Macaca mulatta: one gene and its partners. The protein of the gene in region 3 interacts with the protein of the main gene of each other region in a pairwise test. Links are inferred from orthologs where the notes say so. Each region holds a gene or a part of one and is shown on either strand. Other genes may lie near its edges.

Region 1 (4,107 bases), on a different chromosome or scaffold from region 3:
TCCCTGTTGGCACACTCAGGATGAGGGCTAAGGGCAGCCCAAGAATTCAGCCTCTCTCTCTAAATGTCAACTGTTTTCAAGTAACGACAGGTCAGGGGTCCCATCTGTTCATTCTCCTCCACAGTGGCCCACAATATCCGTCAGGTGTTTATGTATCCAAAGAGAAGGCTACTCACTCCATCTGGTAAACCAACATACTCATGATGTAGTGGAAAGAGTCCCGGAGTAGCACAGGGGGCTGCCTCAATACACATTTACTGAGCGTCTAACAGTGAATGAGTCAAGTCCTTCGTAGGCACTGGCAAGGGGAAGATGACCAATACAAACGGCTGAACCTTGCTTTCAAGGCCTTCATAAAGCACTAGAGATGACAAACACGGTCCGATACAAAGGGTCAGGTTCAGGACTCCAGTCATTATTATCAAAGAGCCACGGGAATACAAAGGAAGGATTACTAGCGGGGGAAGTTCCTGGAGGGCATCACAAAGAGACCTCTGAGCTGGATCCGGAAGGACAGATGAGTTTAAGCTGAAAGTGGGGTCGGTCGTTCCCGCTGGCGGGAACCGAAGGAGCCAAGGCAGCTTTGGGGCGGAGACCAGGTGGCACCCGCGGCGCTGCAAGGACACACAAGCTGTTGCAAGAGGGTCAACCTCTCCGGGCCTTGGCTCAGAAACCTGGGACGATTACACCCTAAAAGCGCTTGGAAAAACTGCAAAACTCGTACTGCTTTTCGCCAAAGCTACTACCGTGCCGTGAGGGCAGGAAGTCCTGCGAGGCGTCTGCGAGGACGCAAACGCCGCGAAGCGAGTCCTCCACGCCTCCATCCCCGGCATAGTGAAGTGTAGACTCTGGCCCACAGCCGAAAGGAAAGACCCGGGTCGGGGAGGGCCCCTCCAGGGGCGGGCTCAGCCGGAGTCTGGCCGAGCTGCGCGCGGCCACAGTGGTTCCGCGGCCTCGCGCTGAGTGCCTCCCGCCGTCTCCCACTGCAGCCCCCACCGCCCCTCCGCAAGGCCCGGCGCCTCCCGCCACCTCCTCGGTCGCTGCGGCCGCTCCAGCTCCTCACAGCCGCTAAACCCAGGCCTATCCCGCGGTCGGTTCTCTTCGGCCCTCTTCGCCGTGACGAATCGGCGCCCGGCTAGGAAAGTATCCAAATTCGGAGAGTTTTGAGGAACCAATGGGGCCTGAAAAAAATCCCGGAGTGTGCTAAGCATCACCGCATCCTCACTAGAAGGTTTATTTTTTCCAAAGAGGGTCGGGTGGGGCCCGGAAAAAAAAAAAATTAAGAAGAGTGTGGAAAGTGCGAGTGCGGAAGCTCCGGACGCGAGGGGCGGGGCGTGCGCGGGACAAAGGGAAGCGAAGCCGGAGCTGCGGGCGCTTTTTCTGCCCGCGGGTGAGTGTTTCCAAGTGGGCCGGACCGGGTCGGTGGGGGCAAGTCGTGGTGTCCCCGCTTGGCTGAACTCCGAGTTCCCGGGGGTTGCTGGGGTTCAGGCTTGGCCGTGGGGCCACAGCCGGGAGCCGGTTGCGGCCTCCTTGAGGCCTAGCAGAGCAAGGGTTGGAAGGGAGTCCCATCTGGGGCCCCCTCCTTGGAGGCAAGGCCGGTCACCCGAAATTGGTCAAAGCACCTGTGCATACCCCGTTTTAGGGGAGTTGCTAGTAAAGTACGTTCTCCAAGACAATGAGAGTGACCTCAGGAAGCCCGCGGGCGAGGCAAGTCCGTGGTTCTCACCCCCAGGAATAAGGTTCCCCCATTGGTTCAGGCAGCGACCTGAGGACTCAAGATGTGGCTTATGGAGACGAGCAGCGCTCTGAAATAGTTTGGCCTGGGTTTGAAACCCAACTCTGGCACTTCCTGGCTGCATATGGCTTCAGACAAGTTGTTTAGACTCTCCGAGACTCCCTTGTTTCATCTGTAAAATGGGGATAGCTGTACATATCAAGTACTTGTGACTGTTAAGCGAAATAGGGTCATAAGCCTACCCCGTATAAAGTATTTCTTGAACAAATATTTATCGGGTATTTATTTTTATGCCAGGCACCAAGGATGGATCCAACGGTGGACAAATGTACAAGCCCACTCTTAAATTTTATGTTCTAGCAAAGGAGAACCATAATTTTAAAGTATTAACAATGAAGTATAACGTACAGGGAGCTTAGCTTATGGCAGTTGTCAGGGTGCCCTGCAGCGAGGCCTGCTGGATGTTGACAGCTCCCTTAATGTGAGCAGAAAGGAAATCTACACCAGAGTCAAAGGTTTCTGACTGTTCTTTAAGAGGGAAAGACTCAGGTTGGACCATTGAGAAAATGAACTGTTTCTTTCCACACCAGGACTCATTCCTTACGCTCCAGGGAATTTCCTTAAAATGAGTAATAGAAGTGAAAAATCGGATCTATTCCACATAACTTTAGATGCAAATACCTCCAATAGTCATAGAAGTTTATTTGCCTTCTTTCTAAAGATGAATTTTTGTCTTTTTGTACCTCACTATTTGTGATGTATGTTGATGTAAAGAACAAGCTCACATGTGCCTGATTATGTTGTGAGCTGGTAATACTAGGAAAAAATTTCCTAAGAATTGAGCTGGGTCCTGCCATGGTCCCTGTTTCCAAGTAGCATACAATCTAGCCATATTGACAAGTTAAAAAAAGTTATAATAATATCATAGATCTGTGTAAACTGTATAGGAATACAGATGGGGGAGCAATTAATTCTGCCCAGGTAATGTATCAAGAAAGTTCCATTGAGGAGAAAAATTTTGAAATGGGCCGTGAAGGGTGAATAAGAATTTTTCAGGTAGACTCTCAAAATTTATTCCCAGCATTTATGAAGCTATTTACCACTCTTAAGAGAATGCGAAGTTCATTGTCATACCAATTACCTTTTGCACTGCTTCCAGGAATAAAATGCTGCCCAATTTTAATAAAAATTGTTATCCCAAAAACATGGTACAGTTGCTGATCAAGGAGCTGTCAGTATCTGGTAGGCCTTGTTGGGTTGGACTCTAATACATCACTTTGTATTCTCATGCTTGTATCAGTCCGATGAAATGTTTACATGGCGTCAGCAAAATGTTTTCCATACAAGAGGTAGCTTAGTATCCCAAGAAAAAACCTGAAAGTACATTTCTAAATATCCCCAGTACTTTATTTTAGTCATTTAATTCTAATCAACCAAATCTCCTATAAGAACTAGTTAAAATATGCAAAAGGCTTAATTACTAGGAATTAAGGTGAAGTAGTTTTACTCAGAAATACCAATTAAATTACCCTATTCATTAGGAAAACATTCTCGTATGCTTGCTGAGTTTTGATTCTCTTTTTTTTTCCTTTTTTTTTTATTTTAGTGTCTCAGATTCATTCTTAAGGAACTGAGAACTTAATCTTCCAAAATGTCAAGTAAGTTTCAATTTTTATATTTATCGATCTATGTTAATAAGAGACTAATGCCCTAGCAAGTGGGAATTCCAAAATACTCTCATTTTTTTTTCTTCAAAACAGGACCATTGGTAGTTTTGTTGCATAGTATTATATCTCAGTTGTTTACAAGAAGTTATTTATTTTCTTTCAAACAGAAAGACCATCTTATGCCCCACCTCCCACCCCAGCTCCTGCAACAGTAAGTTTTAATTTTCTTGTTAATGTAATAGCCAAGTCTGGCCTTGATACAAAAACCCAGATGTCTTCCAGTGACAGTCACTCAATCATCACAGCAACAGGATGAAATTCAGCTTAAAAGAAAAAAAAAAAAAAAAAAAAAAAGCATTTCCTACTAAATAAAATAATTATTTGCATCTTTCCTTGAACCAACCCCAACATTTAAAGAAACAATACTGTAAAACTCCAACCTCCTATGCTCAGTTTGTTTTGTTTTTTTCTTTGTAAATGGGAAATAAGTGAAAGTTTTACCATTTCTTTCTTATTAATCTTCACTATTAAGAGTCTTTAAGTTGTTACTGAATGAATGCTCATTCTGGCTTTTTTGTTAAACCTAACCTTCAACTGGTTATGTTTTTCTCTCCTTTCTTGTCTCTCTATAAAATTTTCATATTAAACAATAAAGCTTCTGAAACTATACTCATTGTAAGTATTTTCAAGCTGTTCAAGTAAAGA
Region 2 (3,500 bases), on a different chromosome or scaffold from region 3:
ATTCTGATGACCAAATTACTATAAATTTATTTACCAACAATTACAGTAATTCGGTCATCAGAATCCCTTGCACAAATGATCAAACTAAGTTTTGTAAGTAACTTATGCACAAGTCTCCTTGCCTGGAATCTAAGGCACAGCCTTTATGCAAAATTCCATTCTACAGTGAAAGAACAATGAGGATGTTGTAGAAATTAGCTACAAATACTCCTAATTATTTTGTTGTAATATTAATATAAACCGAGATCCAAAATGCTTCGGGAGCAAGAGAACCAAGTTTATAAAATAATTTAAAATGTGAAGAACCATGTCAGGCTGCACAGCTTCTCTATTAGTCATAAAACTTTTTTCTGTTTGTTTTACTCTTAGGGGCTAGTTAACAATGAATAGTTTAATTCCTTTAAGCTCCAAAATTATTTCTATGCCACTGATGTTGTTCAGTGGAGCACTCAGAAACAAAAAAAAGCATGTTTATATTTGTGTACATGTATTTTTATTTTTATGCTCACTAAATGTTTACAATGAACTAGGTACTGCTTTTAAGTACTTTACATATACTAACACTTAACTTGCAACACCCTATGATTTAGGTACTAAATGCTGAACTTTATTAAACATAAAACAAGGTCTTCAAGAGATATTTGTCAAATATTTCACAACTAAAAACAATGATATAAAAAGCTAAATATGTAAAATATATAAAAACAACTGAGACAACTATGTTATGCTATCTCTTAGATATAAAATGCATTACTTGTCAATAGTGGCTAGAATTTGCATCTGTGTCTATACAGATAGTTCTGATTGGTCAAATTTGGAAGTTTGATTAACATTCTATGTAAGAAAATACTATGAGCTTACACATTATCTTTTGATTGTAAAATAAACAAACTTTCACTTCCCATATTCAATTCATCTACTGGTCTAACTTCAAAATAGGTCCCAAATTCAAGCATTTCTACCTTCACATTATGACCCTAGTCCAAATTACCATTGTCTTTTCGTTCCCACTCCAATAGTGCCTCCTAACTGGATTTCCTGGTTTCTATTAGACTCCTACAATCTGTTTTCGGCATTATAAAACAGTACTCTTTTTCACTCTCTTAAAACTAATGTTTTTTCTACTCCCCTTAGAACAATATTTGACCTACAAATGCACACTAAAATATTTTGTAAATCAAATCCCAGATGTGTTGGGGGTGGGGTGGAGAGAGCGAGCAGAGTGGGATTATGTATGAACAATATTGATCATGAGTTAATAATTGTTGAACCTGCGTCATAGGTACACATGGGTTCATTATTTTATCCTCTCTGTATTTGTGCGTATTTGAACTTTTACATCTCTCCATCCTCATCTCACACCTCTAGGTCTTGGTCAGCACTGCAAATGAGGTGTGTCCCACCTCAGGGTCTCTACACTTGCCTAGAGTGCTCTTACCTAGCTCTTTTTCATCCCCTCTAACATTTACTTGGAGTCCTAATCCCCACACCTCTTAAAAGTCAACTACAACTTATAGTGTGTCCTCCTCCTCCTTTTAAAAGCTTCCTTTCTTGTTTTAAACTCCATCTATTTCATAATTCTTGGCCCAAGGGCCAGCTGGCTTCTTCAACCCTTAGTTCCACTCCAGTCTCTTAACACAGGCCGAGTTTGCTTCAAGCTCTGACTATTTTCCAAGGCCATTGTCTCCTCCTTTTAATTAAGAGCAAAGAGATTGCCACCATACTTTCTAACTTACCCCTCTGACCTTTTCTATTCCTCTCTATCTTACTAGGAATGGTCTACATGCTTTCTCTGCTTCGTTTAAAATTAATCTGGGAATTGGCGCTGAAGCAGAGTATTGGTATTATTTTAGAAAATGATATAGTAACTTGAGATAGAGGAAAATACCAAAATGTAGTAATTAAGAGCAAAATATGGGTTTCCCAGGGTGGAGAGCCACGTTTTTTTACACTGTCATCCTTGGGCACAGATTTTATCACTCAATATGAACAGGCATTTCTCAGTTCTTTGCCCTTCAACAACAATAAAATGGGCATGCCAGAAAAAAATGTTAAGATATGTACTCTACAAAAACTGTCAAAACAATATCCATCTATTTAATACAATTAAAGTACTTAAAATATTAATTCCTATAATTAAGATTATGTTCTAAATTATATCTTAAATGTGAAATAAAAAGACACACATCACATGATTTACCTCCAAGAGGACAAGGAACAGATCTACCTGTTCACCGTTGTATTCCCAGCATCTAGCACAGTGTCTTTATATACTGGACACTCAATATTTGTAGAATGAATAAATCATCTACTAAATTCCTCTCCAAAATCTCTATTGTTCCTAATACTACAGACACGCCACCTTCTCCTCAGCAGTGCAACTTTACCAATTTTTAGAAATATGTGAAAAGATCACCTATAGACAAATACCTATGTTCAGATACGCAGGAACGTGTCTGGCAAAAGTCTGAAGTGGAAGGTGAAGCAGGAAGAGATTTAGTAAGTTTAGACATGCAAACTGGAGACCCATTAGATACATTGTGAGGCTTCTTTTGCGGCTGCCTCGAGTGCACTGTAAGATTGTCCCGATCAGAACCTGTTGTAAAACAAGGAAGGGAAAAAGGCAGTACATACAGTGAGGCATTAAATATAGTGAAGGTAAATCATCAGGATGATTCATCTGCAGTTCTGAGTGAGGTAAGAGATGGAACAAATTCAAATTAATATCATTAATCTTGCTATCTTTGTTGCATAGTCCACATGTTTCAAAGGATTTTTTTTTTTTCTTTTTTTTTTGAGATGGAGTCTTGCTCTGTCACCCAGGCTGGAGTGCAGTGGTGCGATCTTGCCTCACCACAAGCTCCACCTCCCGGGTTCACGCCATTCTCCTGCCTCAGTCTGTAGCTGGGACTACAGGTGCCCGCCACCATACCAGGCTAATTTTTCTGTATTTTTAGTAGAGACGGGGTTTCACTGTGTTAGCCAGGATGGTCTCGATCTCCTGACTTCGTGATCTGCCCGCCTCGGCTTCCCAAAGTGCTGGGATTACAGGCGTGAGCCACCACACCCAGCCAAAAGGATCTAGTTTTAAAAATATTTCTAGGCTGGGTGGGGTGGCTCACACTTGTAATCCTAGCACTTTGGGAAGCTGAGGTGGAATGACTGCTTAAGCCAGGAGTTCGAGATCAGCCTGGGAAGTATAGTGAAAGTTTGTCTCTACAAAAACTTTTTTAAAATTACCTGAGTACGGTGGTGTGTGCTTATAGTCTCAGCTACTCAGGAGGCTGAGGCAAGGAGGATTGCCTAAGCCCAGGACGTTGAGGCTGCAGTGAGCCGAGATGCACTCTAGCCTGGGTGACAGAGCAAGACTCCATTTTGAAAAAAAAATTCTAGATGTAAATTTTCAAAAACTTCACATTATTACAAACTCACAACAAAAGTCACTTTGGGTATGCACAGTCCCCCTCTCATCCTCACTTTGACTACAGTAAATAAAATAT
Region 3 (3,930 bases):
TCACTCATAACTAGTTTGAACCTCCGAGGGCAATGAATCTACTGTCATCCCCCAAAAGGAAGTGCAAACGAGTTCTTAAGTACTCCAACAAATTGGACCTAAACCCCTACTTCCCGGCTTCTCTAGGTGGGATAAAAACAGGAAGGGGTAGGCCGGGCGCGGTGGCTCAAGCCTGTAATCCCAGCACTTTGGGAGGCCGAGACGGGCGGATCACGAGGTCAGGAGATCGAGACCATCCTGGCTAACACGGTGAAACCCCGTCTCTACTAAAAAATACAAAAAACTAGCCGGGCGAGGTGGCGGGCGCCTGTAGTCCCAACTACTCGGGAGGCTGAGGCAGGAGAATGGCGTGAACCCGGGAGGCGGAGCTTGCAGTGAGCTGAGATCCGGCCACTGCACTCCAGCCTGGGCGGCAGAGCGAGACTCCGTCTCAAAAAAAAAAAAAAAAAAAAAAAAAAAAAAAAAAAAACAGGAAGGGGCTCCCCGCGATCATGCAAGGCATACCCGGCCTTTTCCCTCTCGGCCCCAGCCCCGTTTCGGATCTACCAGCGGGGTGCAGTCTCCGAGTAGCCTCCTCTTCAAGCAGTGCCAGCCTGTGCCGCGGGTCCCGGGACCCCCTGGGCTCCTCGGCTGGAGCCGATACTGCTGCAGCTGTTTGACAGCCAGGAAGCCGGGGCCAGGAGGGGCGCGGCCTCGGCGCGCGGGCAGCGCCTACCCCTCCTTCGGAATTCCCGGGCCCGAACTTCGCGCCGAGCGAGCCCGCCCCCGTGCCGTTTCTGATTGGCCAGCTCATTTGCTCTCTTCCGCGCCATTGGACGGCTCCCTAAGATCTCCCGCCTTCCGCTTTTTCTGATTAGTTCACAAGTTTTCCCGGGTTCCCGCAGTGGGGAGGAGCCGCCTGGGCGCGGAGATGCGTCGACACATTCTGTGGGCCCAGATTTAGACGCCACTGCGCCTGCGTACACCTTTCCTCCTCCCTACAGTGAGGTAGGACCTTAGGGCGCCCGCCTTGCGCAGGCGCGGTCAGAGGCCGAGGCAGAGGCGGGGCCCGGAGCGAGGCGTAGGGGGTGTGGTCAAGGCGCAGTAGGGGTTCTCGCGGTGGGTAAGGGACGTTCGGGAAGAGTCGGTTGTGGGCGGGAAGGGGCTGAGCGGGGGTGCTGGGAGGGTTCAAGGGGTCCAAAGGGGAAGGGGGAACAGGGGCCAGGTGAAGGGGTAGATGAGGAGATCAGAACAGCCTTAGAGCTCAGGGGCCAACTGGGTGAACAGCCTTGGGTATCTAGGGGAGCAGTGGGGGGAGAGCAGAGCCGGCTAGCGTACAGGGGGCGAGAGCAGACTATTGAGAGATGGGGGTGAGGGTGAGGACCAGAACAATTCCTTCAGAAAAAAGTAGATTAGGATGTAAAAAGGGACCGGAGTAGGGATCCCAGATTCGGGTAAAAAATAGATTAATGAGGGTGGGAGGGTGGGGGGAAGGTCTTAAAGTGCCCACTATGTGTTAGGACTCGAGAAAGAGGAGGCGGGCGGCAGGCATGGAAGCTGAGGGGATAGTAGAGAGAAGCTGAGAGGACAGCCGCAGGAAAGATTTGGATGAGATGTCAGGACGCTGGCTTTTCTGCCTGGGGATCTAGGCTGCTTGGATTCCCAAGGTCTTGGGAAGGGTCTAGCCCTGCATGTGGCCACATTCAGCTGGGGCCAGGCCTTGGGCCAGCACTTTAATAGGGAAGGACCCAAGAGTCATGGCCTGGTGGTGTCTGGATGGGATTCCCCCAGGCCTTGCTGAGCCATGGAGAGAACTCTGGAGATGGCGCTCAAGACCCCTGCACTGTGTACCTCCTTTCTCACCTCTGGCCAGGGGCAGCAGGGACCATAGAAACTTAAGGAGGAGGGTAAAGGCACTGCCCAGAATCCTGAAAGTATGAGTAAAGCCTCAGAGCCCCTCTCGGTCTGTCTTTTTCAGTAAATTCTCTCCACTTGATAGTTAGTTGCCTGGGTTCCCTGAGGAACCAGGTTGAGACAAGCAAGTGAATTTGGGGTATCTCCTACTTCTTTGGGGAAGTAGGAAAAGAGCTGAGCATCGGGTGGACCTGGCTGTAATTCAAGGATTATGACTTTGTTATTGTAGGGGCTTTCTCTTTGGAAGGTGGCCTGAAAATTGAATTGGAGTGTCTTTGTTTCTCCTATTGTCCAGGGGAACATAGATGGCTGGAGACAGAATCTAGAGCCTTCAAATAATGTGGAGATGTTTCCACCTTCAGGTCAGTGGGACCAGACAAGGGGAGTGGTGGTTGTCTCTGCCTGGGAAACTGACCATCTTTGATTTTGTAATTCTTCAGGTTCCACTGGGCTGATTCCTCCCTCCCATTTTCAAGCTCGGCCCCTTTCAACTCTGCCGAGAATGGCTCCCACCTGGCTCTCAGACATTCCCCTGGTCCAACCCCCAGGCCATCAAGATGTCTCAGAGAGGCGACTAGACACCCAGAGACCTCAAGTGACCATGTGGAAACAGGATGTTTCCAGTGACAGGCAGGAGCCAGGGCGGAGAGGCAGGTAGGGATCCATCCTCGCTGTTTTCTCAGGCTGGCTTGCTAGTGACCCTTCTTCACTGGAATAAACTCCTTACCCTATTTCGGCCCTAGTTTCCAGAACCTACTCATTTTTATGCAAGCAATTATTAGTTCCTGCAGTGCTTAGATAATAAAGCAGTGTGCTAGGTGCTAGGGATGAGGATAACAATAATGAATAAGACAAATCCTGACTTAAATTTGTAATTAATAAGGAATCTAAAATCTTAAGAGGGGAGATAGATTGACCATCAACTGATGGTAAAGCATAGTATGAGGCAAGATGAAGAAGTGCAAACTAGAAGTAGAGACCCAGCACTGTGGCAGTGTGGGTTCATTCTGATGGAAGAAAGCCTTTACAGAGGACATGCTATGGGAGCTGGCCATGCTGTCGTATTGTCTGTAAACATTCTTATTCTTGTTGTTTCATGTGTCTTCCCAGATGTACTGGGATAGCATTCTGCCATTTTGCTCTAGAGTAGGATTACATTAGAAGCAGCAGCACAATGAAGAAGAAGGAGCACTAGACTGGGTGTCAGGAGACAGAGACTCTATTTCTAGTTTGGCTACCAGCTAGAGGACATTTGGCAAGTCAATTTCCCTAGCCTACAGATCCCTGATACTTAAAGAAAGAAAGAAAATAAAGAAAAGGCCAGGTATGGTGGCTCACACCTATACTCCTAGCACTTTGGGAGCTGAGGCAGGAGAATCACTTGAGCCCAGGAGTTCAAGACCAGCCCGGGCAACAAAGCGAGACTTCGTCTCCACAGAAAATAATTAGCTAGCTGTGGTGACATGCATTTGTAGTCCCAGCTACTCGGGAGGCTAAGGTGGTAGGATCACTTGAGCTCAGGAGTTGAAGGCTGCAGTGACCTATGATCCAGCCACTGCATTGAGGCCTGGGTGACACAGTGATACCCTGTCTCTAAAAACAACAACAACAATCTCCTGTGGTCCTGGGTGTCAGAGAGACAGCTGCCTCAGGAGCCACGTTCCAAGCTAGATTAAACTTCACATGATATTGGTAGACAATGTCTCCAAAGGCTGGCACTATGTTATTTATGTACTGTTCTCTCAGACTCCTCATAAAGTATACCTAACACTCAATAAATGCATTTTAACTAGCACCTGGCCTCACCATATTGATACTGGAAGCTCAGCTCTCTCTATGCCCATTCCTCCCTCAAACTTCTTGCCCTTAAATCAGAATTGAGAAGTCTCTGTTCTTCCAACCTTTCCACTTAAAATGTGTGGCCTAAAAATAAAAAATAAATAAGACAAAAAAACACCAAAAAACAAAAAGAATGTGTGGCCTAATGATATACACATTTGATGTTGAATCTGTCTGTATGTAGCTCTCTCTAGGGAG
Region 4 (4,002 bases), on a different chromosome or scaffold from region 3:
TGGAGTAGCCATTCTTTATTCCTTTGCTTTCCTAATAAACTTGCTTTTACCTTATTCTACGGACTTGCCCTGAATTCTTTCTTGCGTGAGATTCAAGAACCCTCTCCTGAGGTCTGGATCCGGACCCCTTTCCTGCAGCGGGGGGAACGCAGACAATGTGAGTGAATGTGCTAGAGAAGGGATCTGCGTGTGTCCCTGGCTTAGGAATCTCCCAGCCATTTCCTGGATGTGCTGGGGAGCCCCTGTTGCGAACTGTACCCACTTCTATCCTTGCTGAGACCTGCCGAGATGTGAGAACTGCCTCTTCAAAAGCCGGCACCCAGTGGACATAGCTTGAATAAAAGAATGGTGGAAGACGTGAAATAAGCCCCCTGGGCTTCCAAATCTCCCTTCCACGAGAGTGAACATCAGTCGTGCCCACTCTCGCGGGCTACAGTGGGGGCGTGGCTCACAGCCCACCTGGTGTGGGACCGGAAGGGAAGGCAGGGCGGAGGAGAGGGGGTCTTCGGGCCCTGAGGCTTGGTGGGGCCACCGGAGGGCCCCCCTAAGAGGGTCCCTGGCCCTGGTTCGGTAGGGGGTCGCAGAAAGCGGAAAGGTCAGGGCCCTGCCGTTCGCCCATCAGGGCCTCGACTTCCCTCCTCCGGCCCCCAGGCTGCCGAGGGGCCACCGGGCAGGGCTGAGCAGGGCCTGAGGCCGGAGTCCGCGCCGACTGCTTGGTGGGGGCGCCGGCCGGGCGGGGGAGGGAAGGAGGGAGGGGCGCGCGTGTCTGTGCGCTTGGAGGAAACAGTCCCACCTCGTCCTTTGCTGTCCCCATTGCTGAGCATGACTGGGCCCTGACACCTGGTGCAGAAGGGTCCCTGCGCACAGCAGATCCCGGGGGGATCTGCTGCCAGAACCAGGGGATCTCGCTCCTCCCTCTTGGGACAGCCTTAAGCCTAGGAGCTCCTGACACTGTCCGGGCCCCGCAGCTCCCCACGCTCCCTCGGGGAGAGACTTGGGGCGTATCTGGGGTCGCGCTCACCCTCCCAAGCCGCCCCCTGCACCGGCTCGGAGCTCCCGAGTGCTGGGAGGGCTTCCGGGCGGCGGCGAGCGGCGGGGGGCGGTGTCAGGAGGCCCGGCCAGGCCCCGCCCCCTCTCCCGCCCCCCCCCCCTTCCTGCGCACCCGGCTCGGGTCCCCGGGCTCGCGGCTGCGGCTTCTGCTCGGGGAGGCGTAAGGCGGCGGCGGGAGCGGTCATGGAGGCGGGCGCCGGAGCCGGCGCGGGAGCCGCGGGCTGGAGCTGCCCGGGACCAGGTCAGAGCCGCCCCTCCCTCACCTCTCCACCGCCCCTCCTTTCTCTCCTCCATCCCTCCTCCCTCCAGACCCCCAGGTGCTCCTGGCCTCCGCGGCTCCCCCTTCTCCGCCCAGAGTCTTCCTCCCTCCATCCTGGCCTCCACCGGGGCCCGGTCTCCATCTTTCCGGCCTGGGGCTGGGGCTTCAGCGCACCGGCCGCATCCTGTCTGGTGGTCCCTCCCCAGCGCGTCTCTCCACTCCAGTCCAACGGTGCTTCCAGCCTTCGGGGCTCCAGACCCCGCACCTCCTGCAGCCCCGGAGATTCCTGAGCGCGGGGCGAGGGTGGGGTGGGCAAGGTCCAGCGAGAGAATGAGAGGGGAGGGGAGGGGAGCGGTCGCTGCCCTACCCCTTCCCACACGCCCCCCACTCCTCCCTCCCTCCGTAGGCCACCTCACCCTTTCAGCCTCTTCTTCACTGGCTCCCGCCCTCTTTCTGTCTTGCCCCTCTCCTCCCTGTCTCCCTGGACTAAATACGCACACCCCCTCTTTCTGTGCAAGCAAGAGGGGCCTGGAACAGGGGGTTCTGAGGAGGCTGGGCGTCAGGACTGGGGTCTCCGCAGGCAGAGCATGAGAGGTGGTGGAGAGAGAGAGGAGTCGCAGAGACGGGAGAGTGAGTCAGGCACCTCCACTGGGATTACAGATCCCAGAGCCCCGAGGAGCTGGAAGGCATGTCCCCTTCTTTGCACCCCAGCCCGCAGCCAGTCCCCCATCCCCCAGCCCTTCCTTTCTCCGTGCTCTCAGGACCCACAGTGACCACTCTAGGCTCCTATGAGGCCTCTGAGGGCTGTGAGAGGAAGAAGGGCCAACGCTGGGGCTCCCTGGAACGACGAGGGATGCAAGCTATGGAGGGTGAGTTTTCCCAAAAGGCTTCTTTCTTTCCCTTCCCCTCCTCCCTTAATTCCCTTTCTTCCTCCCTTTGACCCCCAGGCCTCTAAGCCGGGACACAGCCCTTCCCTCAGTTCATCTTAGCCCCTCTTCCTGCAGCTCAGAGCGCCAGCCCTTCCCAGGGCTCAGGCTTTGACGGAAGTTTAGGGTGCATCCCTTCGGGACCCCAGTCAACCCCCAGCTAACCAGGTTGTGTGTCCCTAGGGAGCTGCCAGACAGAGAAAGAGGCCTGGTTGGACAGAGCTTTGAAGCAGCCTTTCAGCAGGGGGTTTGTCCTCACTGCCTGCCGACCCAGATCCCAAGCTGTCTCTTATTATAAAAAGCCAGGAACTGGGCATGTGAATTGTCTTTCTGGGGCCACCACCATTAACTTCGAATGGAAGCCTGTGGCTTTGGTTCTCTAGGATACCTTACTGCCTGAAAGAGATTGCCTAGGAGGGGGCGTGTGAGGCCATCCTCCCAACACACGTGTATCCCCACCACACCCATGTGACTTGGCAGTTGCTGCCAACACCAGGCCCCTGGAAGGACGCTGGTCCATTTTCCAGGACTTTCTGTGAAGTATTGCACGTTGCACATTCAGTATGGGCAAACCTGCTCCCCCTAAGAGGGACAGATGGCACAAGGGGTCCCAGACGAACCTAGGGCTGCTGATGTTAGATAAAGTAAGACCAGAGATTCAGAATTTTAAAACAAAGCAAACAATCATCATCCAGACAACATTTTGCTATTTATAGGGACTGCATTGCAGTAAAGGAGCGGGTGCTCACAACCAGAGGCTGGGGGCCAGCACCAAACCCCAGTTTTTTTAATGCATTAAAATAGCAGGCTTTCTTTTACACACAAGTACAGCCTAAAACTTCCCCTGAAAGCTGCTTTGTGGTCAGCAGAGTAGGAGGGGCTTCATATGGCTCAGCTAGGGGAGAGGAGACTTTGTGACATGCAGCAGGGAAAAACAAGGTGGACCTTGTAGAAAATTTCAAACAGGTATTTAATAATATACATTTGAAAGGGCACCAGCGTTTATCCAATGAAACCTCTACAATCAGATATTTTCTTTCTCTACCTGCTGACAGGCAATGCTTTCTTATTACGGAAAGGCTGATTTTTCACAAGCCACCTGGATAGTGTTTTGTTTGGTTGTTTTTGTTTGTTTGTTTGTTTGAGATGGAGTCTCACTTTGTCGCCCAGGCTGGAGTGCAGTGGCTCGAACTCGCCTCCCTGCAACCTCCACTTCCCATTTTCAAATGATTCTCCTGCCTCAGCCTCCCAAGTAGCTGGGATTATAGGCATGTACTACCACGCCCAGGTAATTTTTTTGTATTTTTAGTAGAGATGGGGTTTCACCATGTTGACCAGGCTGGTTTGGAAGTCCTGGCCTCAAGTGATCCACCCACCTCAGCCTCCCAAAGTGCTAGGATTACAGGCATGAGCCAGCATTCCCGGCCAGTTTTGTTTTGTTTTGTTTTGTTTTTGTTTTTAACTTTTGAGAAATCTCCAAACTGTAACTGTTACCCCATTTGACCGAAAGATCCACTCACTGTCTCCTTTCTTGACTACTTGTCCTGCTACTCAGAGGCCAGCCTAGAAGAAGCAGGTAATCCTGTGCAAGTGTCTCATGCTGAGCGGGCACCAGCCTGCCCACAGGCAATGGTGGGAGGCTACCATGTGCAACATTGGTCCAGGAAGGGCCTGGGAGGTGGAGGGGCTGCCTCTCAACTTGACCCTCACACCTGAGGATTCATCTTGAGTATAGGTCTTGCCCAGAGGCACCTTGGGGGATACCAG
Region 5 (3,752 bases), on a different chromosome or scaffold from region 3:
CAGCACCCCTCCCAGGTGGCCCCGCAGGGCCAGGCATGCATCTGGCCGTCAGCTGGCCTATGTGGGGTCTGGGCCAGGCCCCTCACCCCAGTGCCGGACAATGAGTCTCAGGGTAGTCCTGGCAGGGCGATACCATTTTAATGGTGGGGAAATAGAGGTGCAGTTGCCTGCAGCTGGTGGAGGGCATTTTGGGGGACAGTGGCAGGTAGGTAGGTTTGGGCAAGGAGGCTTGCCTGTGAGGAGTAACCAAGGGGCTTGGGGGACAGACGCCACACGAGCATCTTTGGGGACAGGCCTGGCTCACTGGGGCCTTTCCTTCTGCCCCCAGGGGACCCCTGAGAACCCAGGTATCAACCAGCGGGCCCTGCAGCTGCTCTTCTCCGAGGTGCAGGAGAAGGCGTCTGACTGGGAGTATACCATCACCGTCAGCGCCGCGGAGATCTACAACGAGGTCCTCAGGTGGGAGCCCCAGGGTATGCAGAGCAGGCCTCAGGGGCAGCTTTGGGGTCCTCCGGGGTGGTGCTGGAATGAGGTCCTCAGGTGGGAGCCCCAGCATGTGGGGAGCAGGCCTCAGGGGCAGTTTTGGGGTCCTCTGGAGTGGTGCTGGAGCAATGGGGGATAGGAAGTGGGGTCTTCCTGAAGGGAGTACAGGGAACAGATGAGGCCATCAAGGGACCTGGCTGCAAGTCCTGACTCAGCCCATCGGTTTGGGTGGTCCTGTGGGGAGGAGGGGCTCTCTCTCAGCCTGCCCTAGCCCAGACCCAGGCAATCCTTGCCCCTACCTGTGGGCTGCACCAGGTGGCTGTGGGTGAGAGTGGGCAGCTGGGGGCCCTGCCCACAGGGCTCATTGCATTGTGGAGTGAGATCTCTGCGTCAGCTGAATGCGGTGGAGGAGCTGGAGGAGGAGAGATGCGCTCAGCTGATGGCTGAAGAAGGCTTCCTGGGTTGGGGGAACATTCCTGGCTGGGGGGCTGGGTGCAGTGCAAACAGCAGCCAGAAATGGGAGGAGGGCGTGACTGTCTCACCTACCCCTCCAGGGACCTGCTAGGGAAAGAGCCTCAGGAAAAACTGGAGATCCGGCTATGCCCAGATGGCAGTGGGCAGCTGTATGTACCAGGGCTGACTGAGTTCCAGGTGCAGAGCGTGGACGACATCAACAAGGTGTGGAGGAGGGAGCCCCTGACCACAGCCACGCTGCTCTAGAGGACAGAACTGGGTTTGAATGTAGGCTCTGCTGTGTCCTAAGCACGCACCCTTGGGCAAGTCCCCACGCCTCTCTGAGCCTCAGTTCCCTCATCTAAACTGCAGAGGGTGGTGCCAACTCCTCACGGGTGCTTGGGGCCAGGTGACTCTGAGGACCCCATTCTCAACGCTGTGCCTCTGCCCTCCCGCTCCCAATCCCCCAGGTGTTTGAGTTCGGCCACACCAATCGCACGACGGAGTTCACCAACCTCAACGAGCACAGCTCCCGCTCGCATGCGCTGCTCATCGTGACGGTGCGAGGCATGGACTGCAGCACGGGCCTCCGCACCACGGGTGAGAGTGGCGGGCAGCCTGGCCTGAGGATCCCCACAACCACAAGGGGCATGGCAGGCCTGATCTGCTGGGTGCCCTCCCTGCAGGGAAGCTGAACCTGGTGGACTTGGCTGGCTCCGAGCGCGTGGGCAAGTCGGGGGCTGAGGGCAGCCGCCTGCGGGAGGCACAGCACATCAACAAGTCGCTGTCAGCTCTGGGGGACGTCATTGCTGCCCTGCGCTCCCGCCAGGGCCACGTGCCCTTCCGCAACTCCAAGCTCACCTACCTGCTGCAGGATTCACTTAGTGGTGACAGCAAGACCCTCATGGTGGTACAGGTGAGTGCCTTGGGTTAGGGCGGGCCAGTCCCTAGAGTGGAGGGGCTGCGCTAGCAGCGAGACCCGGTCACCCCAGGCTGTGCAAAGGAACCCTTGTCTCAGCAGCTCCATAGTCAGCAACAGCCCCCAGCCCCAGACCTGGCCACACACACCCTGTGTGACTCCCAGTCCCTCCTCTCCACCTTTGACCACGCTACCTCTGCCACCTTGCCTGCCCTCTCACCCCATCTTTCAGTCCTCTCCAGGAAGCCTTCTGACATCCCCAGCTGTGAGCTCCCTCTGTTGGCCCTGCTGTCCCTCCAGCTGGCCTGGTTGGGCAGTGAGCTCTTGTGTCCCGTAGGTGTCCCCCGTGGAGAAGAACACTAGCGAGACGCTCTATTCTCTCAAGTTTGCTGAGCGGGTGCGCTCTGTGGAGCTGGGGCCTGGGCTACGCAGGGCAGAGCTTGGGTCCTGGTCGAGCCAGGAACATCTAGAGGTACGGGGACTGTCACAGGCCTGGCTCAGGTGGCCCTGGGTCAGAGACTTTGGGTCATGGCAGGAGTGGGGAACTGGGCGGGGACGTCCTGAAGCAGTGGGGGCGGGGAAGCTGCCGGAGGTGGGTGGAGCTACAGCTGGAACCCACAGCCAGGAGCCTCTTCAGTACAGGTAATTCTTCTTGGCCTCAGAGGTTCCTGTGGGGTGACCAGCTGGCCGTGGGGGTGGCACACAGTAGGTACTAGTTGTACCTAGCACACAGTGGTAACTAGTTGACTTCTTTATATGTATTATCTCGTTTAATTCTTACCATAACTGAGGCTGGGGCACGAGCATCATGCCCATTTTGCAGATGAGGAAACTGGGTGTTAGGAGGTTAGGAGGCAGGGCAGGGGAGTAGAGAGCAGCACAGCAGGGTGGGGAGCCAGGGCAGCCGTGGCCCACGCCCACCCGCCCTTCCCTGCTGACAGTGGGAGCCGGCTTGTCAGACGCCACAGCCCTCAGCACGGGCCCACTCAGCCCCCAGCTCTGGGACCAGTAGCCGCCCTGGATCCATCCGGAGGAAGCTGCAGCCCTCGGGTGAGCCTGGGGTGGAAGTGTGGGTGGGGGAGTCTCCCCAGGATAATAGTCACCAGGCTGCCCTTACCTGGATTGGCTTTCTATTTTCTTTCCTTTTTAAAAAGTTCTTACAACTTCTTCAGAACCTGTTTTACAACCTCCCCTGCCCCCAGGCAGTCGTCAGGGCAGACAGTGCTGTGTTCAGTCTGCAGGTGGGAAATGAAAGGTCCGTGGGGAGGGGTAGTGTAAGGAGACCCCAGCCTCCCAGCTTGGGGTGCTGACTTTACCCTGGGACCCTGCTCTCTGAGGGTGGGCTGGCTGGGCCTGTGCAGTAAGCCCCCTCCAGAGCAGTCCCTGCATCCCCCTCCCTGCACCTCAGCTGCCCTGGGGATAGAAAGGGCAGGGCTTGCCTACGTCCTAGGTGAGGAGTGAGCCCCACCACAGGACTGGGATCCAGGACTCCAGCCCCTGTTTAGCCCAGATCATGGGAAGGCCTGGCCTGTCCTTGAGTCCAAAGGGGTAGCAGCAGCAGGGTCCTGTGGGGTACTGGCCTGAGGCAGGCCCACCAGTGAGACGCCTGTCACTTTGATTTCAGCCTGACGGCTGGGGCTGCAGCCTCTAGGTGAGTGTGGGGCCAGTGGCCCAGGGCTACCCGCCTGCCCGCCGCCATGGGTTGCAGGGCTGCGCTGGGACGTTCTGCTGCTCAGGGCTGGGTCTGGCCTCCGCTGGTGTTGTCTGTCTGCTTCTGCTGGGTTCCCTCCTGCTCTTGGTGGCACCTGTTGTGGGCTGCCGGTGGGCGAGTGGACAAGAGGCTGATGATCCCGGTGCCCCTGCAGGGAAGTCGCGGCCACTGCCTGTGTGACGGATG
Region 6 (3,500 bases), on a different chromosome or scaffold from region 3:
CACACACGGACACGCGCACACACGGACACCCGCACACACGGACACGCGCACACACGGACACGCGCACACACGGACACGCGCACACACGGACACGCGCACACACGGACACCCGCACACACGGACACGCGCACACACGGACACCCGCACACACGGACACGCGCACACACGGACACCCGCACACACGGACACGCGCACACACGGACACCCGCACACACGGACACCCACACACACGGACACGCACACACACGGACACGCACACACACGGACACCCACACAAACCTACTTTGATGACATCTCTCCCCCAAACAACCCTGCCACAGGTTTCTAGCGGCACTAGTGACCTATCGCCACGGTGCTAGACACCTCAGGAGTGACAGGGAGGGAGGGCAGGTTCTACAGTGGACTCAGGAGTGAGAGGGAGGGAGGGCAGGTTCTGCAGTGGAGGCCTTTTCCAATGGGGCGCTCTTCTCCTGCTGAAACGACAAGCCATGCTTCTACACTTCTATACAGACAGGCTTTTGTGTTCTTTAACCTGCCAGAGTGTGTCATGGACCTAGGAACTACGATAGCCTGCCCTTCCTTTTGCAGGCGGTACACAACATCTTGGTGTTTATCTGGTCAACAGGTCGGCAGGAAGAAAGGCCAGAGGTAAAAAGCCAGGCAGGCCAGAAGCCAGAATCGAAGCAAAGCGGCCAGAAAGTGAAAACACAGCAAAACCCACAAAAGAGTTCTCCTCAGGAATACAGCAACTAGAAAGAAAACACCAGCACCAGTAGGTTCCTATTCCAGTGTGCATACACAATCTACTTATCACATAAGCTAAACACTCACACGATAGCCACTTCACAAAAGCGTTTTTCTTAATGGAAAAGGCACAATGTAAAATGTCTATCATTTAAAACCAACACTAAGTATCCGCAACTGTTCTGATTGGGAAGCACAGCCACTCCGGGTTCAGCTCAAGAAGTAAAGCCTACAATTGCATCTCGGATGCTCTCAAGGGACAGGGGTGCAGCCAGTGTGCCCAAGGCCCGTTCCTGGCTTCAGCTCACCCTGAGGTCCCCACATCTCTTGGCAATCCCTGCCCAGGTGCTCTGCCTTGGGAGGCAAGTGGCAGGCAGGAGTAGCGACCCTGAACAGACAGTGTCATCCTTCCCTCCTCGTGACTGTTCTTAAGGGCTTCCACATGCACAGGCACCTGTCCAACCTATCCATTTATGGTTCATGCCTGCTCTCATGTAAGGCACCTGAGGCCCATCAAGAAATATGACTCCAAGGAGAGACTAATAACTACTCTAGTAGAGGGTCATTATAAGTTGTAGGGAAAAATAATTAGGCACTGTTTCCAACATTTATGAAGACTACCCTAAACATTCTCCATATCATTTAGGGGAAATGGCTACTTTCATGTAAAACCGTCCAGTCATTCCATTTACCATTCCAGTATAAAAACAAGGGCTGCCTCAAGTCTGCCTGAAACTCCTAAGCCTGAGGAAAATCAATTTTATATTTACTCCACCCGAGGAAACCCAATGGTTAGAATAAGGTTCTGATTTCAGCTGGGCGCGGTGGCAATCCCAGCACTCTGGGAGGCTGAGGCAGGAGGATCACTTGAGCCCAGCAGTTTCAGACCAGCCTAGGCAACACAGTGAGACCGCATCTCTTCCAAAGAAAAAAAAAATTATTTAAAAAATTTGTTAAAAAAAGAATAAAGTTCTAATTTGTATAGTGAGGTTTCAGAATGTGTTTTTAATACAAAACCCTTAATGAAATGTATATACCTCAGGGTGAAATTCTCTTAAGGGACAGAGATCAACCAAAACATTCCACCACAAGGAGAAGAGCCTTTTCACAGTGCACTGTGTGTCAAATCTGCTCCTTTATAAATGGGCCACAATTATTGGGGATGGCAGAAAATGCCAGCTGCTTTAAGAAATCGTGAACATTTCTAGAGTTGTACCTGTTCTGCTTTCAGAGAAAAACAAGCAAGAATGACCTCTATGACTCAAAGCAGAGACAGTGGCAGGGGATCATGGGTGCCTGTTGGCTGCTTCAGTAACAACTACCTTAGGCAGCACCGTGAGCATCCCAGGCCACGGGTCCTAACAGTGACCCATATTAAGGCATACTTGTACAACCATGTATTACCATGCAGTATTTAAAAATAAGTAAATTGAGGTAGAATAATATACATGACATGGAAAGATAATGGCAATATAAGTCATGATAGGCACATTGCAAAGCAATATTTAAAGTAAAATCCCATAACTGTGTTACAAACAACTTAGAGCAGATGCATAAAAATAGGATTTGACATGCCTTGGAATAACTGTAAGGAACGCAGAAACAGTGTGAAGGCAGGAAACAATGACTTTTTAGTTCATATACTTCTATACCAACTGAAATTTTTTGCATTAAGGATGCTTCAGTCTTAAGACAATTTTATTTCAGTCTTCAAAACAGCCTTAACTTTATACAAAAGTTGTATCTCCTAAACTGTATTTGATCCAGTGCCTAAGTACTTCAGGGCTTTATATTTCTCCAAAATTCTCACAGGGGATGTCTGTTGTACAGTTTGCATATATTTAATTGTGATGCTCTCTTCTACCCCAAAAAAGTATTTGCAAGTCTGCCAGCCTGTAAGCACCTGGAGAACAGGGACCTTATCACAGTCGTTTTGACTCACCAGAGCCTCACACTGCTGCCTTTCAAGAGTCTGCTTCCCAGGACAGAAGCCTCAGATTCAGCGTTCCTGGGGCAACAGACTCCACGGGGACTAGAGGACAACAACAGACATCATGTCCCCTAAGATTAGAATGGTAACAGGCTGCAGGCAGGTTTGCCAAGCTGAGTTTACCTTTTCAAGGCTTCATTATGCTCACTTAATAATGTCACTTTACTACTCAAAAAATTATCACTTAAAACATTCAGGACTTACCCTTTGTCGAAGAAAGATGTATGCCCTGATCGAGAGAACTTTGTGCCATTGCCATTCAGCACCCCACAGTTAACATTCCCTGAAATATAGGATTTTCGTGATGCTTGGTCCTTTGCAAAATTCCTGCAAGCTGCTAATTTGGATTCTAAAGCCTACAAAAAAAAAGAAGGAATGATACGGTTGTCAAAACAGTAGCTGCACATAAAAATTTGCATTTCAAACCATTTCTATTTCAAGCCTCAAAACCTACTCATCTCAGTTGATAATGGTGGTTAGTTCAGCCATGATCAATCAACTTTCTAATAAAAAGGCAGAATACTTATGCTCCCTTTCTAATGAGCTCAGAATATTTTATTTTTTCCTCTTAGTGTTACTGAGGGAAATACACGTAATCTTCCCCTCACAAGTAAGAAGAGTGTGGCACGGGAGGTCGAACAGCAGACCCCAGGTCTCTTGTCCCATCCGTTGTTCGTTTCTAAATTGTAGACTGTTGGTTGGTGTTAGGAGCAGGGTGTGTTTGGGGAGCAAGCACTATTAAAAAACCCAAAAATATCACTTGAGA
Region 7 (3,500 bases), on a different chromosome or scaffold from region 3:
AACCCCGTCTCTACTAAAAAGTACAAAAAACTAGCCGGGCGAGGTGGCGGGCGCCTGTAGTCCCAGCTACTCGGGAGGCTGAGGCAGGAGAATGGCGTGAACCCAGGAGGCGGAGCTTGCAGTGAGCTGAGATCCGGCCACTGCACTCCAGCCTGGGCGACAGAGTGAGACTCCGTCTCAAAAAAAAAAGACCACAATCTTATTTCAATTATAGGGACTTCTAGACCTGCTTCCAAAAATATATATTAACTAGTGAATCAAGACTCAAAAAACATTTGAGTATGAGGTGAGAAAAACTATATAGCAAGATTATATAACATTATCACTAGGGACTAAAAGAAAACTAAACTCAATAATGAGAAATCCAAAGGATATTACTTCTTCTAAGAAATTCAGTTTTTTGCCATCAAAGTGTTTCTAAGGAATGCTGGAAATGCTAATTAAGAGCATGTGTTCAAATTAACTATACAGCCTAGTGTAGTTCCTCCAGAGAACAGGTCTCCCTCAATCTCAGCAAACGTCAATGAGGTCAACATCTGTGCAGCCAGTATTTATAGTTCTAAGTAATTTAGGTTAATATTAAAAGATATATGTATGTTAGTATTAAATTATCAAATACATTCTGATAATTTGGGTTGAACAAATATGTCTATGTGATTCTCCTGTGTTCTCTTCCAAACCAGTCAAGAGCCAATCCTTAGTCAGTGGAATGGGTGACAGGTGGAAAAGTAGAGAACCAGAATGATGAAAAAATTAACAAGTGTGTTGGGTCAATTATAAATAAGAAAGAGAAGGACTGTTCAGGTTCTGGTAAAAGTATTATTTTGGTAAAGTGCATCACTTAGTAGTTACCTTCTTATATACCATACACTTGGATTAGTAAATCAATGTATAAAGTGCAACTTTTGCTTACGTGAATAAATATTTCTCCTTATGCATAGTTATGTCAATATAATGTCAATATAATTCATGATGAACTTCATAAAGCCCAAACCAAAAAAAACCATAAATACCATAATTTTATAATTTGTTTCTCACCATTAAAACTGACATACTGAAAAATATTAGTGTGATAGGTAACCTTTTATTTCTAGATATTTTAATTATTTTATAACATTTCTGTCTCTGATAAAAATACTACAAACCACATACATTAAGAATGTAATCAATAAATTATATACTTCATAAAAGTCACAATAAAATGTTCATAGGCATATGGATAATAATATATCTTATATATCTTGACAAGTGAGGCTCTTTCTACTTGGTATAGCAAATACAAAATGATTTTATGAAAATCAATTGGACATAAAACTATTAAAACAAGGCTATAAAAGCATTGCTCTCCAAAATTTAAATCTATCCAATAATCTTGTTTTAAAAATTGTGCTGTTTTAGTCTAGAGAGAGTCTGGTCCTTTAAGAAATGAATCCTTAATCTGAGGTACTTGTGAACTAAAGCCATAGTTGGGTAAAAGGCTGAGAAAAATTTATTTTAAAGTATGGATATGAGAGCAAGAAAATAAAAACAGTATGGACGTTTATTAAAAGCGGACTCTTGGCTCTTCCTTGTTCTCTTTTGAGGAATGAAGAAAGGCAAGAGCCTGGAGAGAGGGAAGGTTACTAGAAAAGCGATGGCCTTCCCTTTAACAAACTCCAACAACCTAAAGGAGGAGATAAACTGATGGCAAAAGCAGGAAAAATTAAGAAGTCACTAAGAGATAAGTACTATTTTAACTCAAAGCAAAACAAAGATTTATGTCAAATTACTGGGAGGGACACCAAGAAGAGTTTCAAGGCAAAATGGTAAAGGAAAAAAATGGGGGAAAAAAGGGAACCCACTGTTAAATTATATCTTGGCTATTTTTCTTTAAATTATTCCAAAATAATTATAGTTTTAGCAGCTGATATAGCATATATACAGTTTTTTAGAGCTATGAGTTTGATAAATCAAAGAGGAAACCGGAAGTAATGGCTAAAAAGCAGCTGGGCTCAAACAGAAAACTGTCATCTGGAATCTTAGGCAAGAAAAGTCTATAGTTCAAGTTGTATGACCTGATATGACTTCTTGGTATCCTTTCTTGTTTTTTTTGTTTTTTTTTTTGTTTTTTGAGACAGAGTCTCACTCTGTTGCCCAGGCTGGAGTGCAGTGGCGCGATCTCAACTCACTGCAACCTCCACCTCCGAGGTTCAAGCGATTCTCCTGCCTCAGTCTCCCCCCAAGTAGCTGGGATGAGAGAATCGCTTGAACCCGGGAGGCAGAGGTTGCAGTGAGCCAGGATTGTACCACAGCACTCCAGCTGGGGCAACAGAGTGAGACTCTGTCTCAAAAAAAAAAAAAAAAAAAAGTAGTAAGTATCCTCCCTTTTTTGAAAGAAATATTCTTCTGAAAGCCAAAACCACAAAATCAAATGACAGAGTGACAGCAAATGTCAACTGTAATTTTCAATGATATTAATAGCTAAGGACATTGCAAATAATCAGTTCCTATACTTTCTACGGCATGAGGAATTGAACAATAAAAGTTCTGCTTACCATTCTCAACATGGGCAAGCCTGTGCATGAGAGGTAGCCAGACAAGGCACTGGGGAGGAGGGTCAGCCATCATCGTGTCTAAAAACATATTTAGCATTATCTTTCTCTGTAAAAAGAAGAAAAACAAATATACTTTAAATTTTTAAACAATTTCCAAACTCCAAGTTTAAGTTAATTTAGGATTTTTCCCATCCAAGCTTTAGTGAATTATATGGTAAATTTCACAGCAAAATAAAATATTTCACATTTCTACAGACACTACTACATGCTGTACTTTACACTACTACTATTAGTATATTTAAATGTATTTCCACATACATTATTTTATTTTAGTCAACTATATAAGGTAAACTAGGTTAGATATGACTATCTTCACTTTACAGATAGGAAAATAAAGCATTTAAAGGTTTTGTAGTGGCCTGGCCCAAATCAGACACAAATCCAAGACTGTCCTTCGAGTTACTATTTCTGCTACCCAGTGGGGGAGAGAAGACAGCCCACACCCGAGTATAAAGCAACATCAACGAGAGCGGGCACTGTGGCTGGTTGTCCACCATATTTCTAGCTCTCCTAACAGTGCCTGACATGTATCTGATAAGTAACTATTGAAAAAATAGTCGTAATTTGAAGGGCAAACACCTAGACATCATTTAACAACTTTCTCATTCACAGAACAGAAAAGAGAAGCTTAAATAATTTGATAAAATCACAGAGGTAGTTATGATAAGGATGAGATTGGAACCTACATGTCCAAATGCCCATCACAATGCTCCTGTTATACCATCGCCCTAGCTAGACTGCATTTGTCTGTTCTATCTTTATTTCTCTTTTTAACAAATATATAGTAAGCTTCCACTGTATATGAAACACTGAAATAATATGTCCCACGTAGACACCAAATTAGAAAGCAGTCTAGAAAGATAAGATAGAAATAGAGTTATATAATATAGAGAGAACAAATTCTCC

The links.
Region 1: the proteins of CCHCR1 (region 3) and SMARCE1 interact in binary tests that used the Homo sapiens proteins (3 or more experiments, as listed by UniProt). The link is inferred for Macaca mulatta from reciprocal best matches to the Homo sapiens genes CCHCR1 and SMARCE1.
Region 2: the proteins of CCHCR1 (region 3) and SSX2IP interact in binary tests that used the Homo sapiens proteins (3 or more experiments, as listed by UniProt). The link is inferred for Macaca mulatta from reciprocal best matches to the Homo sapiens genes CCHCR1 and SSX2IP.
Region 4: the proteins of CCHCR1 (region 3) and CCDC136 interact in binary tests that used the Homo sapiens proteins (3 or more experiments, as listed by UniProt). The link is inferred for Macaca mulatta from reciprocal best matches to the Homo sapiens genes CCHCR1 and CCDC136.
Region 5: the proteins of CCHCR1 (region 3) and KIFC3 interact in binary tests that used the Homo sapiens proteins (3 or more experiments, as listed by UniProt). The link is inferred for Macaca mulatta from reciprocal best matches to the Homo sapiens genes CCHCR1 and KIFC3.
Region 6: the proteins of CCHCR1 (region 3) and NDEL1 interact in binary tests that used the Homo sapiens proteins (3 or more experiments, as listed by UniProt). The link is inferred for Macaca mulatta from reciprocal best matches to the Homo sapiens genes CCHCR1 and NDEL1.
Region 7: the proteins of CCHCR1 (region 3) and DTNB interact in binary tests that used the Homo sapiens proteins (3 or more experiments, as listed by UniProt). The link is inferred for Macaca mulatta from reciprocal best matches to the Homo sapiens genes CCHCR1 and DTNB.

The regions. Positions count from the first base shown.
Region 1 is NC_133421.1:65,026,263-65,030,369, reverse strand, and holds the start of SMARCE1 (SWI/SNF-related matrix-associated actin-dependent regulator of chromatin subfamily E member 1), read left to right. Parts: upstream 1-1,307; 5' UTR 1,308-1,390; intron 1,391-3,341; 5' UTR 3,342-3,386; coding exon 3,387-3,393; intron 3,394-3,569; coding exon 3,570-3,613; intron 3,614-4,107. UniProt on the Homo sapiens protein: Involved in transcriptional activation and repression of select genes by chromatin remodeling (alteration of DNA-nucleosome topology).
Region 2 is NC_133406.1:155,917,551-155,921,050, reverse strand, and holds part of SSX2IP (afadin- and alpha-actinin-binding protein), read right to left. Parts: intron 2,597-3,500; coding exon 2,431-2,596; intron 1-2,430. UniProt on the Homo sapiens protein: Belongs to an adhesion system, which plays a role in the organization of homotypic, interneuronal and heterotypic cell-cell adherens junctions (AJs).
Region 3 is NC_133409.1:151,906,701-151,910,630, forward strand, and holds the start of CCHCR1 (coiled-coil alpha-helical rod protein 1), read left to right. Parts: upstream 1-1,130; 5' UTR 1,131-1,670; coding exon 1,671-1,886; exon of another isoform or gene 1,887-1,913; intron 1,914-2,122; exon of another isoform or gene 2,123-2,188; coding exon 2,189-2,255; intron 2,256-2,333; coding exon 2,334-2,547; intron 2,548-3,257; exon of another isoform or gene 3,258-3,287; intron 3,288-3,930. UniProt on the Homo sapiens protein: May be a regulator of keratinocyte proliferation or differentiation.
Region 4 is NC_133408.1:168,425,033-168,429,034, forward strand, and holds the start of CCDC136 (coiled-coil domain-containing protein 136), read left to right. Parts: upstream 1-1,202; 5' UTR 1,203-1,233; coding exon 1,234-1,291; intron 1,292-1,702; exon of another isoform or gene 1,703-1,896; coding exon of another isoform or gene 1,897-1,939; intron 1,940-2,070; coding exon 2,071-2,178; intron 2,179-4,002. UniProt on the Homo sapiens protein: May play a role in acrosome formation in spermatogenesis and in fertilization.
Region 5 is NC_133425.1:53,369,769-53,373,520, reverse strand, and holds the end of KIFC3 (kinesin-like protein KIFC3), read left to right. Parts: intron 1-116; exon of another isoform or gene 117-328; coding exon 329-459; exon of another isoform or gene 460-636; intron 637-782; exon of another isoform or gene 783-895; intron 896-1,029; exon of another isoform or gene 1,030-1,037; coding exon 1,038-1,161; exon of another isoform or gene 1,162-1,199; intron 1,200-1,406; coding exon 1,407-1,536; exon of another isoform or gene 1,537-1,622; coding exon 1,623-1,852; intron 1,853-2,192; coding exon 2,193-2,327; intron 2,328-2,603; exon of another isoform or gene 2,604-2,796; coding exon 2,797-3,165; 3' UTR 3,166-3,252; downstream 3,253-3,752. UniProt on the Homo sapiens protein: Minus-end microtubule-dependent motor protein. Involved in apically targeted transport. Required for zonula adherens maintenance.
Region 6 is NC_133421.1:9,963,356-9,966,855, reverse strand, and holds part of NDEL1 (nuclear distribution protein nudE-like 1), read right to left. Parts: intron 3,091-3,500; coding exon 2,939-3,090; intron 1-2,938. UniProt on the Homo sapiens protein: Required for organization of the cellular microtubule array and microtubule anchoring at the centrosome. May regulate microtubule organization at least in part by targeting the microtubule severing protein KATNA1 to the centrosome.
Region 7 is NC_133418.1:99,430,193-99,433,692, reverse strand, and holds part of DTNB (dystrobrevin beta), read right to left. Parts: intron 2,641-3,500; coding exon 2,535-2,640; intron 1-2,534.